2 linked regions of the Tamandua tetradactyla genome follow. The protein of the gene in region 1 binds, or shares a complex with, the protein of each later gene. Links are inferred from orthologs where the notes say so. Each region holds a gene or a part of one and is shown in the gene's direction. Other genes may lie near its edges. The genes, in order: POLR3D and POLR3K.

Region 1 (7,731 bases):
ATAAGTTATATTAGGAGATGCACTAGTCAAAATATAAATTTTGGACAAAATAAACACTTTTTCCTTTTGTCTCACACATAAGTTAAAGTTTTAAAATACGAACTACCATCTACTTTCAACACCCTGCAACACTGACATTCCTTTGTTCTTCCTCATGCAAAAAAAACATTTTTAACTTTGTACATCTAGTTACTACCAGAGTTAATGAATTTTAAAAGTCTGTATTTATCAGGTGGTAATAAATGCTATGGAGAAAAGTCGGTCAGTAAATAAGACAGGTGATGTCATGGGGGAGTGGGAGTTACAACTTTGAAGACAAAATGTCAAAAGTGACTTTGGAGTAATAGACCTGGATGAAGGGAGAAAGTGAGCTGTGCAGAAGTATGTGGTGGGCTCTAGAGCATTCCAGGTAGCAGGTGCAGAAGCCCTGGAGGAGGAACACGCCTGATCTCTTCCAGAAACAGCAAGGAGGCCAGCGTGGCAGGAGCAGTCAGTGAGGGGAGTGTGGCAGGAATGGTGGCCAGGGAGATGACAGATGGAGGGGCACCTTATGCAGGGCTTTGCAGAAAGCCCTGGTGTTCACTCTGAAATGGGAGGCCACTGGGAAGTTGAGACATGATCTGCTGTGAAATATATTACTTATGCTCTATTGAGACTAGACCGAGGGCCCAGGTGGAAGCAGGGAGGCCAGTTGGAAGCTACTGTAATAATCTCAACAAAAGATGTGATGGTGGCCTCGAGCAGGGTAGTGTGTCACTGAAGGGTGAGACGTAGTAAGATTCTGGATATATTTGGAAGGTAGAGCTGCCATAAAAAAATGTTAGGCCTGAGAGAAATAGAGGAGTTAAAAAAAGAGGAATTTTTTTTTTTTAACCTGAACAACCAGAAGGATGGTGTGGCCATTTTCCTAAGATGCAAAAACTTTGGGAAGTTTGAGGAGGAAGATCAAAAGTTTGAACTTAAACATAAATTTAAGAACCCTAGCAAATATCTTAGTTAAGGCTGAAATAGGCAGAGATATACCTCTGGAGTTCAGAGAGTTCTAGGCTGGAGATACATATTTAAGAGCTATTTGTAAACGTACACGGTTTGAAGCCAGGAAAATAAGGGAGGAGTTCCAAGAACTGAATCCTAAAATTTTCCCATATTAAGAGGCTGAAGAGTTGAGGAACCAAGAAAGGAGAATGAGAAGGAATGGCCTCCAAAATGAATCAAATTAGGGTAAATTTCATGTCGAGAACATGTAATAGCCCAATCTTAGGTACTGCTCTCCTACTATATATTCCCTTTATTCTACTAATACATATTCAAAGCAGTTGCTTATTCATTTAGTATTTTCAATGCCCATCACGAATTCACAGGAATTGGCTTTTGACAGAAACTGTTTAGACCTTCTAAAACCTGTATTTAGACCCAGAAAATTATGAAATGTTCCCAAGAGTTCGACTACTAGTTTCATTATCTATCAGAAAAGAATGGTTATTGTCTTTTCCTATAAGATATATGTAAATAAAATGCAATAAAATGTTGATAATAAAAATATCTGCTAGACTCATATGTTACATAGGCTTCTGTGGCTAATAATTTACAAGCTTGAGGCTAGATAAAAGAATGAACACTTCAGAGAAAACAGAGAGCTCTGGGATTAAGTAAAGAAAGAAAGCAGAATGGTGAAGGCAAATTATAGAACCATATATGAAATAACTCAACCTAAAAAAATACATGCATAGGAAAAACAGCTTCAAGTATACAAAACAGGTGATGGTATAACATTAGCAGATTTTAATTCTCTGCCTTTTAAAATTTTCAGAATTTCCTACAATGAATAAGCATCTTTTTTTTTTTTTCAGGTTGAACTATACTTTTATTTTACTCCATCAGCTGACATTAAGGGATAATACAATAAAAAATGAAACAAGACTCAGAGTTCTTGAAATGTTGTTGGGAATACAGTTCACAGGACCACACAGTGTTTGCTTCTTAGGGACTCAAACACATTTTATTTGAAGCCTCACAATCAGATAAATTGTGCTTCTTACCAGCAACTGGTTTATTCTCATATCATAAACCTGTAACTGATCAGTGAATAAGCATCTTTGTAAAAACAAAACAAAACAAAAATTTAAGAGCTGCTAAAAGCTTGGTGAACCTCAAAGTCCAGAGAAACAAACTGGAGCAATTTCATCTGGTACTCCAGTCAGAGACTCAGGGCTAAAACAAACAAACAAACAAATAAATAAATAAATAAAATATAATAAATTTTTTTAAAAAGGAAACCGAGGGCTGTTATGTGTAGCTCTGTAGGGAACAGGAAGGGTTTTCGTTTGGTTTGGTTATCATACAACTAATATGGAGAAAAGATATTGAAAAAATCTGGATAGAAACCAACATAACAAAATAGTAATATAATATTAATATATTGTTAAATTGGTAAAAATGAAGTTTAAAAATTTTAACTCAAAATGATGTGGTAAATTATGTATATGTATACGCACATTTTTTAGTGGTGATGCACAAACATTTTGAAAGAAATTTATAACATGGATGAAGAACCACAAAATGCTCATGTTCATAATAGTATAGCCACTGTGGAAAACAGTTTGGCAGTTTTTTATAAAATTGAGCATGCAACTACCATATGACCCATTAATTATACTCTTAGGCATTTATCCCAGAGAAATGAAAAACGTTATGTTTACACAAAAACCCATACACAGCAGCTTTATTTCTAACGCCCCAAACTGGCAACGACCTGTTCACAGCAGTTTTATTTGCTATAGCCAGATATCCTTCAAAGGGTGAATGATGAAAGAAACTGATACAGCCATACTATGGATACTCAGCAATAAATAATAAGGAACTACTGTTGCATGCAACAAATTGGAAAATCTCCAGGGAATTTTGTTGAGTGGAAAAAGCAATTTTAAGAAGTTATATAGAATAGTTACATAATATTCTTGAAATAACCAAATTATAGAAATGGAGAGCAGATTAATAGTTACCAGGGAGGGGGATGGTGGTGAAATGGATGTGGCTATGAAAGGGCGAAACAAGAGATACTTGCGGTGATGGAAATGTTTTGTGTCTAGACTATATCAGCGTCAATATTCTGAGTGTGATATTGCACTATTGTTTTATAAGACGCTACTATTGAGGCAAACTAAGTAAGCAATACTTGGGATCTCTCAGCACTATTTCTTAAGACTACATGCGTCTACCATTATCTCAAAATAAAAAGATGACTTCTAAAAAACTGCAAGTACTCTTTAGGCCACTAATCCCAGGTCTGGAGATTTGTGCTAAGGAAACAATTCCAAAGAAGAATGTTGAATGCACCCAATGTTCAAAGAAGCATTATTTACAACAAAGAGTGAAACAATCGAATGTTCAAATAATAGGGAAATCGGACATAATGATATATCCACTCCACGGAGAATATCTAAATCATTTGGATACAACAACAAAGAAATGTTATTTGAAAAAGGAGGATACAGAATTGTGGGACAATATGACGGAAGCGTGAAATATATTACACACATTTTGATAGCAGTATTCTAGGTGGAATTCTAATAGAAATGTTTTCCTTTCCCCAAACTTTCTGTAACGTTGTTACATGGTTTTTTATACGGTGTGTGTGTGAGGGAGCACATTATTTATTTTTACGTTAAACCACAAGCGCTAGAGTCACAGTAAAAGTTCTTTACATTCGCCCCTCCTGCAGAGCAAACTTTCAGGTTCCATGCAAGCACAGGCGCACGCAGCCCTAAGCCCAGCCTGGGTGCTACTGGGCACCTGGCTTGCCCGCGGCAGCTGCTTCGCCAACCTCGCACAGCCCCACCCCACGACCCTACCAGGAGTTCAGAGAAGGGTCGTCGGAGCGAGGGCGAGGCCACTGCCTAGAGGTGCAGTGACCACTCCAAGGTCACCATCCAGAGCCCGCGGCCGCAATGGAGACTGCTACGGCCCGGCGCGGGCCTGGGTTCTGGCCTGGGTTCCCCCGACTTCGAGTCCAGGTCTCGCTCTCTGCCCCGCGCCCCTCGCCCCACCCCGAAGCGCGACCCCAACTGCTCCGAGGCGGCTGATTCCCACATTGTGCTCTGGCGACCGCCAGCGCCCCAGACCCTGAGCAGCGCCCCAGACCCTGAGCTCGGCGCCTCCACTCCCCGCCCCAGGCCGGACCCCCGAGCGCTGCACCGTGGCGGAACCTAGACCCAACCCCTCATCCTTTTTCGCCCTCTCAACCCAGCTTTTCCCGACTCCGGGAAGAACCGGGAAGAGAAGGCAGAGCTGCGCGAGGCGCCGCTTGATAAATACTGTGGCCCGGCCCCGCCCACCGAACCTCACTTCCGCCCCGCGGCAAGATGGCGGCGCCCGGGCGCTGCCACGCAGACTTCCGCCCAGCGTGGAAACTGAGGGCCCGCTACGGGCGGCGGCGGAGGTGAAGTGACGCGCGTGGTGTGGAGTCGCAGTTCGGGTGCTCTAGGGTGCGTCCCTGACTCAGGCCTGGCCAGACCCCCTAGGGAGACGGCGAGTCGCGACAGGCTAAGATCGAGAGCCAAAGCCTTGAGCCGGGTGGTCCAGGGAGTCTCGCCACGTGGGAGGGGGAGGAGCTGATGCGCGTCCGCAGGGACGCACTGACTGGGGGGCGGGAGCCACGTGGGTGGGGTTCCGCCCACGGTTCGCGTGTCCAACCCGTCGAGTGACCTCGTTGCTCCTTTCCCCCCTTTTCCCCCTTCTCTCCCAGGCAACATGTCGGAAGGAAACGCCGCGGGCGAGCCCAGCACCCCGGGAGGTCCCCGACCTCTTCTCTCTGGGGCCCGGGGGCTTATCGGGAGGCGGCCGGCGCCCCCCCTTACCCCGGGCCGTCTTCCCTCCATCCGTTCCAGGGACCTCACCCTCGGGGGAGTCAAGAAGGTACCCGACATCACCTTTTTGCAGAGAAACTCAACTATCTTGAATACAAGCCCCCTGAGATTCAAATAGTATTCATATAGGGCCTACTGTGTGCCAGGGCTCGTGTGGACCCCGTAAGAATCTTGTGCCTAGACTTCTGCTTATTCGTCTTTCAGTGCTGGGAAGCCTGTTGTACCTTCAAGTCTAGTTGTTTGGAACAAGGTGTTGAGAGAATTCCCAGAGTGGCTGGAGGGCAGAGGATCCTCATTAGTCCAAGACGTTCAGAGGCAATTTGAGCGTGTTTCTTTTACTGTATATTTCGGACACCTTTGAGAAGCCCATGAAAAGCAAGCATAATGAATCAAACATGACATTAGATGCTTTGTATCCTTGGCCATTATGTTAGTGCTTATTGATGTAAATTAAATGTAGCCCTGAAGAGGGAAAAAAATGACAGAAGCATAAAATAGCCTGTTGTGAAGGACTTAATTTTGTCTTGGAGAATTCTGGTGGTAGAATTCTAACTATCTTGAACCTTGCTGCTAGAGCTGTTTTCCTATGAAACTGACTGGTCTCTAAAGCTGTTTGAAGACAAGAGGTGAGACTAGATAAGTTTCTTCGCTTTTAGAAGCCCAGGAGGCACTCCTTTTAGGGGACACAAGCTGAGGCTTCTAGTTAAAAATGACTTTGGTATCCAGTCATCCACTGGAATACCACTTATCCCATTTATCTAGGTAAATCCACTGCTGATGTTCCTTCTTTTCGGGTATGTTCCCATCTCTAAATCCCTGACAACAGTTTCCAATATGTGTAAGAGAACCATGGTGATCTTGGTCCTTAAAAGATGCCCTTTGGTAATTTTTCTTTTCGTCTGTACTTTGGGGTCAGAACTTATCAAATCAGTGACTCCTGTATTTTACTTTCAGAAAACCTTCACCCCAAACATCATCAGTCGGAAGATTAAGGAAGAGTAAGTAGCTAGGCTTTCTGAATAACTACCCCTGATTTACATTCTCTGAATTTGGGGATTCTGGGATACAACTAGATATGTGGCTCAAGAACTTAAACTTAGGAGTTTCAACCCTGGCTCCCAGGTGATTCTTATGTACAAGCCTTTAAAAAAATGATGCATAAGACTCTATCCCTAAAAATCGTGATTTAACTTGTTAGCAGTGGAATGGAGTGATTCTCATATATAGCCAGAGATAAGAACCACCAGTTTAGACAAAGATGTATCAAGTTATCCCTTAAGTTCCTTACCATTATAACCTTCCTGTTTTCAGTCAGTGCAAAAAAATCTACATTTGGGGGTAGCTTCTATAGTTCAGGTTTTGAGTTATGATTCTGATATATACTGTTAACAAAAATTAAAGTAAAGAAAACAGGACCCTGCCCTATTGAGCAAGTGAAAAACTGAGACTGAGGATTGGGTTCTCCACCTTATAATGAAGTTGTTGGCTTATAAACGCGCTGCTCAGTTAGAGTGGAATGGTATGAGAGAGTTAGGCCAGTTCTCTGAGGCAGGGTGAGTGAGTGGTTTCTTTTAATCCACTCCCTTTTCCAGGCCAAAGGAAGAAGTAACTGTCAAAAAGGAGAAGCGTGAAAGAGATAGAGACCGACAGCGAGAAGGGCATGGACGGGGCCGGGGTCGTCCAGAAGTGATCCAGTCCCACTCCATCTTTGAGCAGGGCCCAGCTGAAATGATGAAGAAAAAAGGTATAAGACTGTTGGGGCTCTGGGAGGAAGGAATGGATGGAGGATTTCAGTTCAGAATGCTTAAGAGAAGGACAAAGACAATGTTATTTCCTTGCTTCCAGTTAGTTTTCCTTGTTGCTGGCATCTTCTTTATCCTTGGTGAATTGGGTGATTTCCCACAGGGAATTGGGATAAAACAGTGGATGTGTCAGACATGGGGCCTTCTCATATCATCAACATCAAAAAAGAGAAGAGGGAGACGGATGAAGAAACAAAACAAATCCTGCGCATGCTGGAAAAGGATGACGTAGGTACCAGGGAACTGGGGAGAAAGGGCTTCTGTGTGGCTGTGGAAAAGAACTTTTGGGGAGCAAGAGTTAGAAGAAGATGAGCATTGTTGTTGTTGTTAATTTTTTTATTAATTAAAAAAAATTTTTTTTGAAGTATGATAAGAAACAAACATTCTTAACATATGATCATTCTGTTCTACATATATAATCAGTAATTCACAATATCATCACATAGTTGCATATTCAGAAGATGAGCTTTTTGATGTCCTGTTGAGCAGCAGGACTCTGATTAGAAAAGAACTCGAGTGGATTCCAGTATAACTACTGGTCTAGCTCTTTGTGACCTCTCTGACTCTTTGGCAGTTCATCGATGACCCTGGGCTGAGGAATGACACTCGAAACATGCCTGTGCAGTTGCCTCTGGCTCACTCAGGGTGGCTTTTTAAGGAAGAGAATGAAGAACCAGATGTTAAACCTTTGCTGGCTGGTCCCAAGGAAGAGGACATGGAAGTGGATGTCCCTGTTATGAAAGGTATTCTGTGTCAGTTAACTTCTCATTGCCTTTTCTTTGGCCACCCCTCAGAAGTCTGTATAGAACCTAACAAACTGTTATTAATAAGTAGGTCCTCTTCCATCCCAGTTATAAAATGTATAACCTGAAATAAAATGCTAAATTCTCATTCTCTGAGGCTTTAAGTGCTGACATGGATCAGTGGACCCTAAATCCCTTTTTAAATAAGCCACATAACTCTTGAATGTTCTGTCTCTTGTCCTCCATAACTAGAGTCTCACTCCATCTTCCTGTCTGAGTGACAGTGGAGCAGATGTAGGGGAAGGGATGGTTACGGGATGA
Region 2 (8,262 bases), on another chromosome or scaffold:
ATGAACCCCACCTCATTGAGTCGGGTGAGGGTGCATGAAGCAGGGTCTGACCCTGTACTGGGCTCATGCAGGGTATGTGACGAGCCGTCCTCTGAGGACCCCCACGAGTGGCCTGATGACATTACCAGGTGGCCGGTGAGCAGGGGGTGTTGGGGATGTCACCCTTGCCACACGGGCAAGATAATCACTTCACTCATTGGTGATACCAGAGAGGGCCCCAATCTCAGCAGCACTCACGGACCCAAATGCCAAAGCCCTGGGCTTCACCCAGGCTGGCCCCCTGTGCCTGAGCAGGTGAGCTTTGCACTCGGGAGGCCACGCAGCACTGTTGCAGTTTGACAGATGGGCCAACTGGGGCTCAGGGCGCAGTGGCCTGCTTGAAGCACTGGGAGGCCTGTGAACCTGCCCCCTAACTTTGTTCCCTGCTCCAAGCATGGTTTGGGGCCCAAGGCTGGGGACAGCCCTGACCCACCTCATCCCCACCTGCGACCCAGATCTGCACCAAAAGCAGCGCCGGAAACCACACCAACCACCCGCACATGGACTGCGCCATCACAGGCCGGCCCTGCTGCATCGGCACCAAGGGCAGGTGTGTGGTGCACATGCACAAGTGGGCCCTGGGCTCAGAGCATGGCCTTGGGGCTGGGCCCTCCCTCACTCACCTGAAATTCAGGCAGGATTCCAAGGGGACCTGGGCGAAGCTGGAGGGTGGGACGGGAGCAGGCCCCCTCTGCACAGTGACACCCTCTACTGCGGCCTGACTTTCCAGGTGTGAGATCACCTCCCGGGAGTACTGTGACTTCATGAGGGGCTACTTCCACGAGGAGGCCACACTCTGCTCTCAGGTAGGCCTCAGGTGGGTGGGCGGGGGTGCCCCTTCCCCACTCCAACACTGATGGCTGCTCTGGGCAGGTCCACTGCATGGACGACGTGTGTGGGCTCCTACCCTTCCTCAACCCTGAAGTGCCCGACCAGTTCTACCGCCTGTGGCTGTCACTATTCCTGCACGCTGGGCAAGTGCTGCCGTCGGGCTGGGCAGGGCTGGACAAGTGGGACCAGGGGCTGGGATGGGGCCAAGGTGGCCCGGACACCCTCCCTGCTGAGTGCCTCGCTCCTGCCCGCAGGGTCCTGCACTGCCTGGTTTCCATCTGCTTCCAGATGACCATCCTGCGGGACTTGGAGAAGCTGGCAGGCTGGCACCGCATCTCCATCATCTACCTGCTAAGTGGCATCACTGGCAACCTGGCCAGTGCCATCTTCCTGCCATACCGGGCCGAGGTGAGCTGTCCCCTCAGGGCGGGGACCCTCTGCTGGGCTCTGCAGTCCTGCTGTGCTTCGGGCCATGTGAGGTGGCGCTTGAGATGAGGCCCGGGGCACAGGGCATCTGCTCAGCTGGGATGGGCCCGGGAATGCCACAGCCAGCTCATGGCCGCCCTGCTCTCCCAGGTGGGCCCAGCGGGCTCGCAGTTCGGCATCCTGGCCTGCCTCTTCGTAGAGCTCTTCCAGAGCTGGCAGATCTTGGCGCGGCCCTGGCGTGCCTTCTTCAAGCTGCTGGCCGTGGTACTCTCGCTCTTTACCTTTGGGCTGCTGCCTTGGATCGATAACTTTGCCCACATCTCAGGCTTTGTCAGCGGCCTCTTCCTCTCCTTCGCCTTCCTGCCCTACATCAGCTTCGGCAAATTCGATCTGTACCGTAAGCGCTGCCAGATCATCGTGTTCCAGGTGGTCTTTGTGGGCCTCCTGGCCGGCCTGGTGGTCCTTTTCTATGTCTACCCTGTCCGCTGCGAGTGGTGCGAGCTCCTCACCTGCATCCCCTTCACCGACAAGTTCTGTGAAAAGTACGAGCTGGATGCGCAGCTCCACTGAGCCAGGCTGCAGGCTGGCCTCCCAGCAGGCCGGAGACAGGAGGCACGCACGCCCCAGCTGTGCAGGCTGTGGACCTGCTGCCTCCGAGCCGGACTCGATGTTCTCCACACACACACCTCGGTGCCTTGTTTAACCCCTCGTGCTATTGGGGTTTATTACCAGTTCTTGCAACTACCTTTTAACTAGTCTCTTGACGACCACCTCATGTGGCCAATAAATGGACTGGGAGCGTTTTAGCTGCCACTAACTTACTATGAATTGTCTCTTCCTTTCTGGTTTCTGGCTGGGCAGCCAGTGAGGTTCCCCAGCCTCCAGGGCCCTCGCCTCCAATGTCCAGTTCCCCAGGACAGGCTCTCCCAGTGAGGTCACAGTGAGGTGAGGGTGGAGCAGGACTGCAGGGACCCGCTGGCATGCCCTCGCCCTGCGGGGGCGCTGCCCCACCTCCCTGCATGTCCAGCTGCTCGTTTCACCACCACCCCTCCACTGAGTCTGAGACTGCTGCTGGGAAAGCCTGTGGGGTTTCTGTGGCTGTATGCCCCACACTACCACTGTGGTCACCAGGACCCAGCCCTTACTCCCCCACTAGCTCAGACAGATGGTACCCGTCTTCTGTTCCCTCCCCACCACACAGGCAACGGGAACAGGGCTATATGGTCGGGGGAACAGGTGTGCAGTCTTGGGCCTCACCCCTCCTCATTCCCAGTCCCTCCTGCTTAAGGTACAGTTGCCTTTTTGAATTTTCAAACTAAAAAGCAGATTTATTTTGTATACAAAGCTGGGCCCACAGGCTTCTAGGATCCACCAGGCCATCGGGATGTCTGGGCCCAGGGAGGGGTCAGCTTGGCCAACCCAAGCAGGAGAGGAGTGCCTGGGCCTGGGCCTGAGCTGCCCATCCCAGAGGGCCCTGCTGACAGCCCCATGGGGGAGGGGGAGGAGGCAGAACCCACCTGGGGTGATGCCACCTCAACCTGCCTCTGAAAATGGACGGTGACTTAAGGGCTCTTTCCTGCAGAAAAAGCCTGGCCACCAGTGAACAAAGCTGCCCTAGTCCAGTGGTTCATTTTTGCCTCAGCTTTTTGATGAAGGAGACCTCATCCCGGTTCCGGATACCATAACTGAAAGAGAAGGAAAGAGGGCCGTGTTGGACCTACACAAAACTCCTCAGGGGCTCCCACCTGAGCTCCTGAGAGGCTCATCTAGGACAGTCCACATGTCCGTCCTCCCGCAGCCCCACTCTTCTCCATGCACATGCAGCCCCCCAGCACGCACTCCTCATGCTGGTGAGATCTGCAGTGCACTCAAATCTGCTCCTCTGCCTGTCCTCCACAACGCGGGAGGGCTAAGACCCAGCTCCCTGGAAGCACCCCAGGACTTCTGCTGACCCCACAGGACTTCTTGGGAAGGCAACAGCACCCACGTGCTCTTGGCTCTCCCCTAGGAGGGGTCCTGGAGGCAAGAACCAATCTTCCCAGTGGTGAAGATGCAGCCTGAACTTACTCTCGGAGCTTCTTCCTGTCCTCTGTGAGCTTCTCCCCTGCGGACGTCAAGTGGTACGTCCTCCACACGTAGGACCTGCGGGAGGGACGCAGGTGAATGCCTGCTGCCTCAGCCCTTTGGGACCCGCAGCGGCCTGCCTCTCCTTCTGTGCTATTCCTGCACCACGTGCGCCCCTCCAAGTAGCTCCAAGGAGGTGCTGCTCTCAAAAGACCAAACACCCTCGGCTGCAGAACCAGGCAAGGAAGGGAGGGGCTGCCAGCAGACAGCAGCACCACCAGGAGCCCAGATGAGGATGGCGCAGATGAGGAAGAACTGCCCGAGCTTCTTGGGGCAGGGAGTGCGTCCCTCGCCGCTTTACAGCAGCAGTGCTCACTTGGAGCTGGAGCTACTTCCCCGCCGGCCCACGCCTGCCTCCGAAAGGCTGCCCAGGAGCCACCACCCCACCTACCAGCTGATGTGCTGGATGCCGCCGTCCCGCTCCTGCTTGAGCTGCACGTATCTCTGGATGGCCTTCTTCAAGTCCAGGACCGTGGCGTTCTGCACGACGACCACAGCTGCCACCGGGGACACAAACGGGAGACCGTGGTGGGGACCGACTGTCAGAGCCCACATGCCCTGCCCACCCCTGCTAACAACAAGGCATCCATGCACCACACGTTGTCTCGCCACCTGGCCCTGTGAGGACGGGCCACTTACGCATGACTTCTCCATCCATCTTGCACACACGGACTGTCATTGCCTGTCCATATTCTAGTGCTATCTGGGAATTGACCTCTTCCAAAGTGACCTAGAAAAGACCAAGGGGTGTGTGGGGCCCAGCGCTCCTTCATTACCCCAAACAGCATGAAGGAGAACAAGCTGGCCGTGTCCACACAGTGGTCACCACGTTTTATGAAGGGTAGGGAGGGAAAGGGGGTCTTGCCTGTAAACTAGATTTCCCGCTTACTCGTGTTCCACCCACACATTTACGTTCAAGTTTCAGACTGGACAGAAGCGGTGGGCGTGGGGTGGGGGCCAGGAGTACAGACACAGGAGGATGCGCCCACTCCGGGTCCAGGCCTTTGCTTCCTACAGCCTAAAGGCTGGGCAGGAGAGGACGCCGGGCTGGTCGCTCCACCCGGAGGGCCCTCGGTCACCAGACAGGGCCAGCGTGCGAAGGGTAAGGGGCACCGGCACGCGCACGACCCGAGACGACGGGAGTGTAAATGCACCACTCATGGAGAAGTCAGCTCTGGACTTGTTTGTGCTTAAAGCCTGCCCACCGCGAAGGTTTTCTGTGCACTAACTGCGGCTTTTAAACCTGCTGCGACCGCGCGCCGCGAGCGCCGCCGAGACCCGCGCCCGGGGCCTCCGCCAGCGCGGGCACCTGGGCCCGCCCGCGCACCTGGATGGGGAGGTCGCACAGCAGCGGGTCCTGCACCACCATGGCGAGGCCCTCCTGGAACACGTCCACCGCCTCCGAGTGCGGCAGCGCCTCCTCCTCGTCCTCCTCGTCCTCCGGCGCCAGTGGGCGCGCCCCGACCCCCGCCTCGGCCAGGGCGGCGGGTGCTGGGAGCCGCTCCCGCAGGCTCGCGCGAGGGTGGCAGAGTGCGCACGCGCCGGGACCGCAGCGCGCAGAGCGAGGGAGGCAGGTCATTGGTGCATCTGGAAGACGGGCGGTCATCATAACCAATGACAACCGCAGGACAGTTTGCTGCCCGTCCCACAGGGCGCACGTAAGCGGCGTGTCTATTGGTGAGTTGAAGGACAGGCGGCTGCCAAGGCCAATGAAAGCTCGAGGCCTCGGCACCGACGGGTCCCGGAAGCTGGGGCCGTGGAGACTGCCGGGAGTCGCCGCCATGTTGCTTTTCTGTCCGGGTTGCGGGAACGGGCTGATTGTGGAGGAGGGTCAGCGCTGCCACCGCTTCGCCTGCAACACTTGCCCGTACGTGCACAACATCACCCGCAAGGTGAGTCCCGCAGGCCCGCCGCGCCACGGACACCGGCTTGGTCCCCGCCACCCCCCGTCAGCCCACAGCGCCCTTCCTCCGCTCTCCCCCAGCTTTGGGACTCCCGCGGCCTCCAGCCGCCTCGTACCCCAGGGCCGCCCCCAGGGGCGGGCGCAGCCGCGGCGGTACCCCGACCTTGCTCGCTCGTGCGGCCGCTGCGACGCGGGCCTCCTGGAGGACCCCCACCGCGCCGGGCCTTTGCCCGCTTCCCTCTCCCTGAGGAAGCGCCCTGCAGCTCCCCCGTTATGTCCTCCTCCCGTTTTATTTTTTTCCCCTAGGACTCACCTGCTAACATCCCATATAATTTTTTAAAATTTATTTATTTATTAATTTAAAAAAATTAACAAAAACAACATATTATTCCGTTCTACATATATAATCAGTAATTCACAATATCATCACATAGTTGCATATTATCATGATCATTTCTTGGAACATTTGCATCTATTCAGAAAAAGAAGTAAAACGAAAACAGGAAAAAAAATTTATGCATACCATACCCCTTACCCCTCCCTTTCATTGTTCACTAGTATTTCAAACAATCAATTTTAACATTTGTTCCCCCTATTGTTTATTTTTATTCCATATGTTCTACTCGTTTGTTGACAAGGTAGATAAAAGGAGCATCAGACACAAGGTTTTCACAATCACACAGTCCCATTGTGACAGCTGTATCATTATTCAATCATCCTCAAGAAACATGGCTACTGGAACACAGCTCTACATTTTCAGGCAGTTCCCTCTAGCCTCTCCATTACATCTCGGATAACAAGGTGATATCTACTTAATGCGTAAGAATAACCTCCAGGATAACCTCTCAACTCTGTTTGGAATCTCTCAGCCACTGACACTTTGTCTCATTTCGCTCTTCCCCCTTTTGGTCGAGAAGGTTTTCTCAATCCCTTGATGCTGAGTCTCAGCTCATTGGAGGCTTTTTTTTTTACTTTTTATTTTTCTCCTCTCTCTCTCCTTTTGTTTTAAAATTCTATAATATAACATATTTGTTGTATTTGGTTTGTAGTGTTTTATTGTGTTTTACATTTCATTAATAACATGATGTTGAGGTGACGTGAGGTACCCATTAGCTCTTTTGCCCATTTTGTAATATGCCCATTTTGTTTTCTTATTGTTGAGTTTTCAACACCTTTACTTTTTAGAGTAGAGCACGTTCGTGCTATCTCATTTTCCTTTTTTTCTTTTAAACAGATAAATACATAATTTATCGTTGTCTTCATTTCCATTAGAATACATTCCTGGCATTTGCACCTCTACCATTTCTAGAAGTGGGTATTCTATTTACGTGTAGGTTTCACCTCTTAGAGGTTAGAAATTTAAGAATAATTATTAATGCGATAATTTACTTAGGTACTGATTTTCCCTGAGCACAGGATTAAATATCCCAAACTAAATTTATAACAACATTTTGTTGCGGCTTCATATTTTACTTTCTTCTTTTAGTGAAACCTGGACTTTAAGATGTGATCTTAGAATCTGCAAGTACTGAAGCATAGTTGGATTGAAAATGAACTTCAAGCCATTTTACTGTATAATCAAGACACATCATCCCATCTAAGTCTTTACTTGATCTAAAGTCCTGATATTGATAAGCTTTCGTCTATTACTAATATCCCTTCTCATTAGTAAAATAAAGTGTTATCCGAGCAGATTATCTTAAGTTAAATGCATTTTAAGTTTCTCTAATTTTTTTCTTATCAGCTCTTAGTAATAATTTTTGCTTCCTGTAGGAGGGAGAGTCCTGGAGTGGTTTATTCAGTATACACTGTTATTAATTAATTAGCTCTGTAAACTTCATCAGTTAATTAAGTTCACCTTTCAGAACTTCCTGTTTCTGATCTATAATGTGAGGAGAGTCCTTAAGGTCTCTTCTAGTTCTAACATAAAATTATAAAGACCCAAATTATGTAAATTTGTACATTTATAAATTTCCTTTTAAAACATTTTCAACACAGCCTTATAAAACATGACACAATTTGTTACAAAATTGTGAAGCACTACAAATTACTTTCTTTGGAGTCTTACTGATAAAGTCAGTAAATACACTTATTTTATAAAGGCTTTTTCAAATGTATTGAAATAAAGCCGAAAACCAAGACACTGTAATTGATTATAATAAATATTGTTGCTAGGGACTATATAGATTTTTGCTGCTTAAGACATCTCTCATCACAAAATGATATAAAACCAGTGTTTTTATTAAATATGTAAACTTATCTGAAATTTATTTAGTATCTGATGCTTGTGAAAAATTCCTTTTAAATACATTTAATTTCAGTGGGAGAAAATAGAGAATCTTGATTTTCTTGACATCGTTGGTTATCTCATTCTTCTTAATGTTTGCAAACTACTTAACCATAAGCAATAGAGTCCAAAACTCGTGTAAACCCGAAGTTCCAAGGATGTCTGATAAAAGCCAAGCATAGACTGCTTCGGAAACTCTGTGCAGGGAGTGACCAGTTTACCCCACTAAGTGGTGCTCTTTGTTTTTGAAGTTTGGTTGTATTTGTTGCTCTCATTTTGAGTTATACCCTGGAGGGGTGGGAGAGGAGGAAGGCCTGTCTGAAGCCATTCTTTCTTCTGCTCTGTGCCTCTCTAATCCATACAGAGCTCTCCTCTACCTGTTGACTCCCACTCCTTGGCTCGGGGTGTGCCCTGATCACAGATTCTCTGAGTTCCAATGTGGTGCCAGGGACTGGTCTGTGAGAGCAGGAACTTTTATCTTCTGACTGTTGAAGGGAGGAAGTCTGGGAAGACACGAGGGCGCTTGTGGTTTGGTGCCCAGGGTTTATACCGTTCACTTACTTTAAGAGTCTGAAACTTGTTGTTTGTTAGGTAACAAGCCGGAAGTATCCAAAGCTGAAAGAAGTGGATGATGTGCTTGGGGGAGCAGCTG

Evidence for each region.
Region 2: POLR3D (region 1) and POLR3K share a complex: the UniProt entries of both Homo sapiens proteins name them as parts of the RNA polymerase III complex. The link is inferred for Tamandua tetradactyla from reciprocal best matches to the Homo sapiens genes POLR3D and POLR3K.

The regions. Positions count from the first base shown.
Region 1 is NC_135329.1:22,877,641-22,885,371, forward strand, and holds the start of POLR3D (DNA-directed RNA polymerase III subunit RPC4), read left to right. Parts: upstream 1-4,357; 5' UTR 4,358-4,484; intron 4,485-4,744; 5' UTR 4,745-4,749; coding exon 4,750-4,914; intron 4,915-5,819; coding exon 5,820-5,863; intron 5,864-6,457; coding exon 6,458-6,609; intron 6,610-6,770; coding exon 6,771-6,895; intron 6,896-7,241; coding exon 7,242-7,410; intron 7,411-7,731. UniProt on the Homo sapiens protein: DNA-dependent RNA polymerase catalyzes the transcription of DNA into RNA using the four ribonucleoside triphosphates as substrates.
Region 2 is NC_135349.1:57,276,485-57,284,746, forward strand, and holds the start of POLR3K (DNA-directed RNA polymerase III subunit RPC10), read left to right. Parts: upstream 1-5,201; coding exon 5,202-5,312; intron 5,313-8,201; coding exon 8,202-8,262. Other genes in the region: RHBDF1 (inactive rhomboid protein 1), read left to right, coding at 72-135, 495-589, 770-845, 913-1,013, 1,125-1,278, 1,447-1,866; SNRNP25 (U11/U12 small nuclear ribonucleoprotein 25 kDa protein), read right to left, coding at 2,924-2,981, 3,364-3,438, 3,812-3,917, 4,060-4,150, 4,748-4,789. UniProt on the Homo sapiens protein: Core component of RNA polymerase III (Pol III) which synthesizes small non-coding RNAs using the four ribonucleoside triphosphates as substrates. Can mediate Pol I proofreading of the nascent RNA transcript.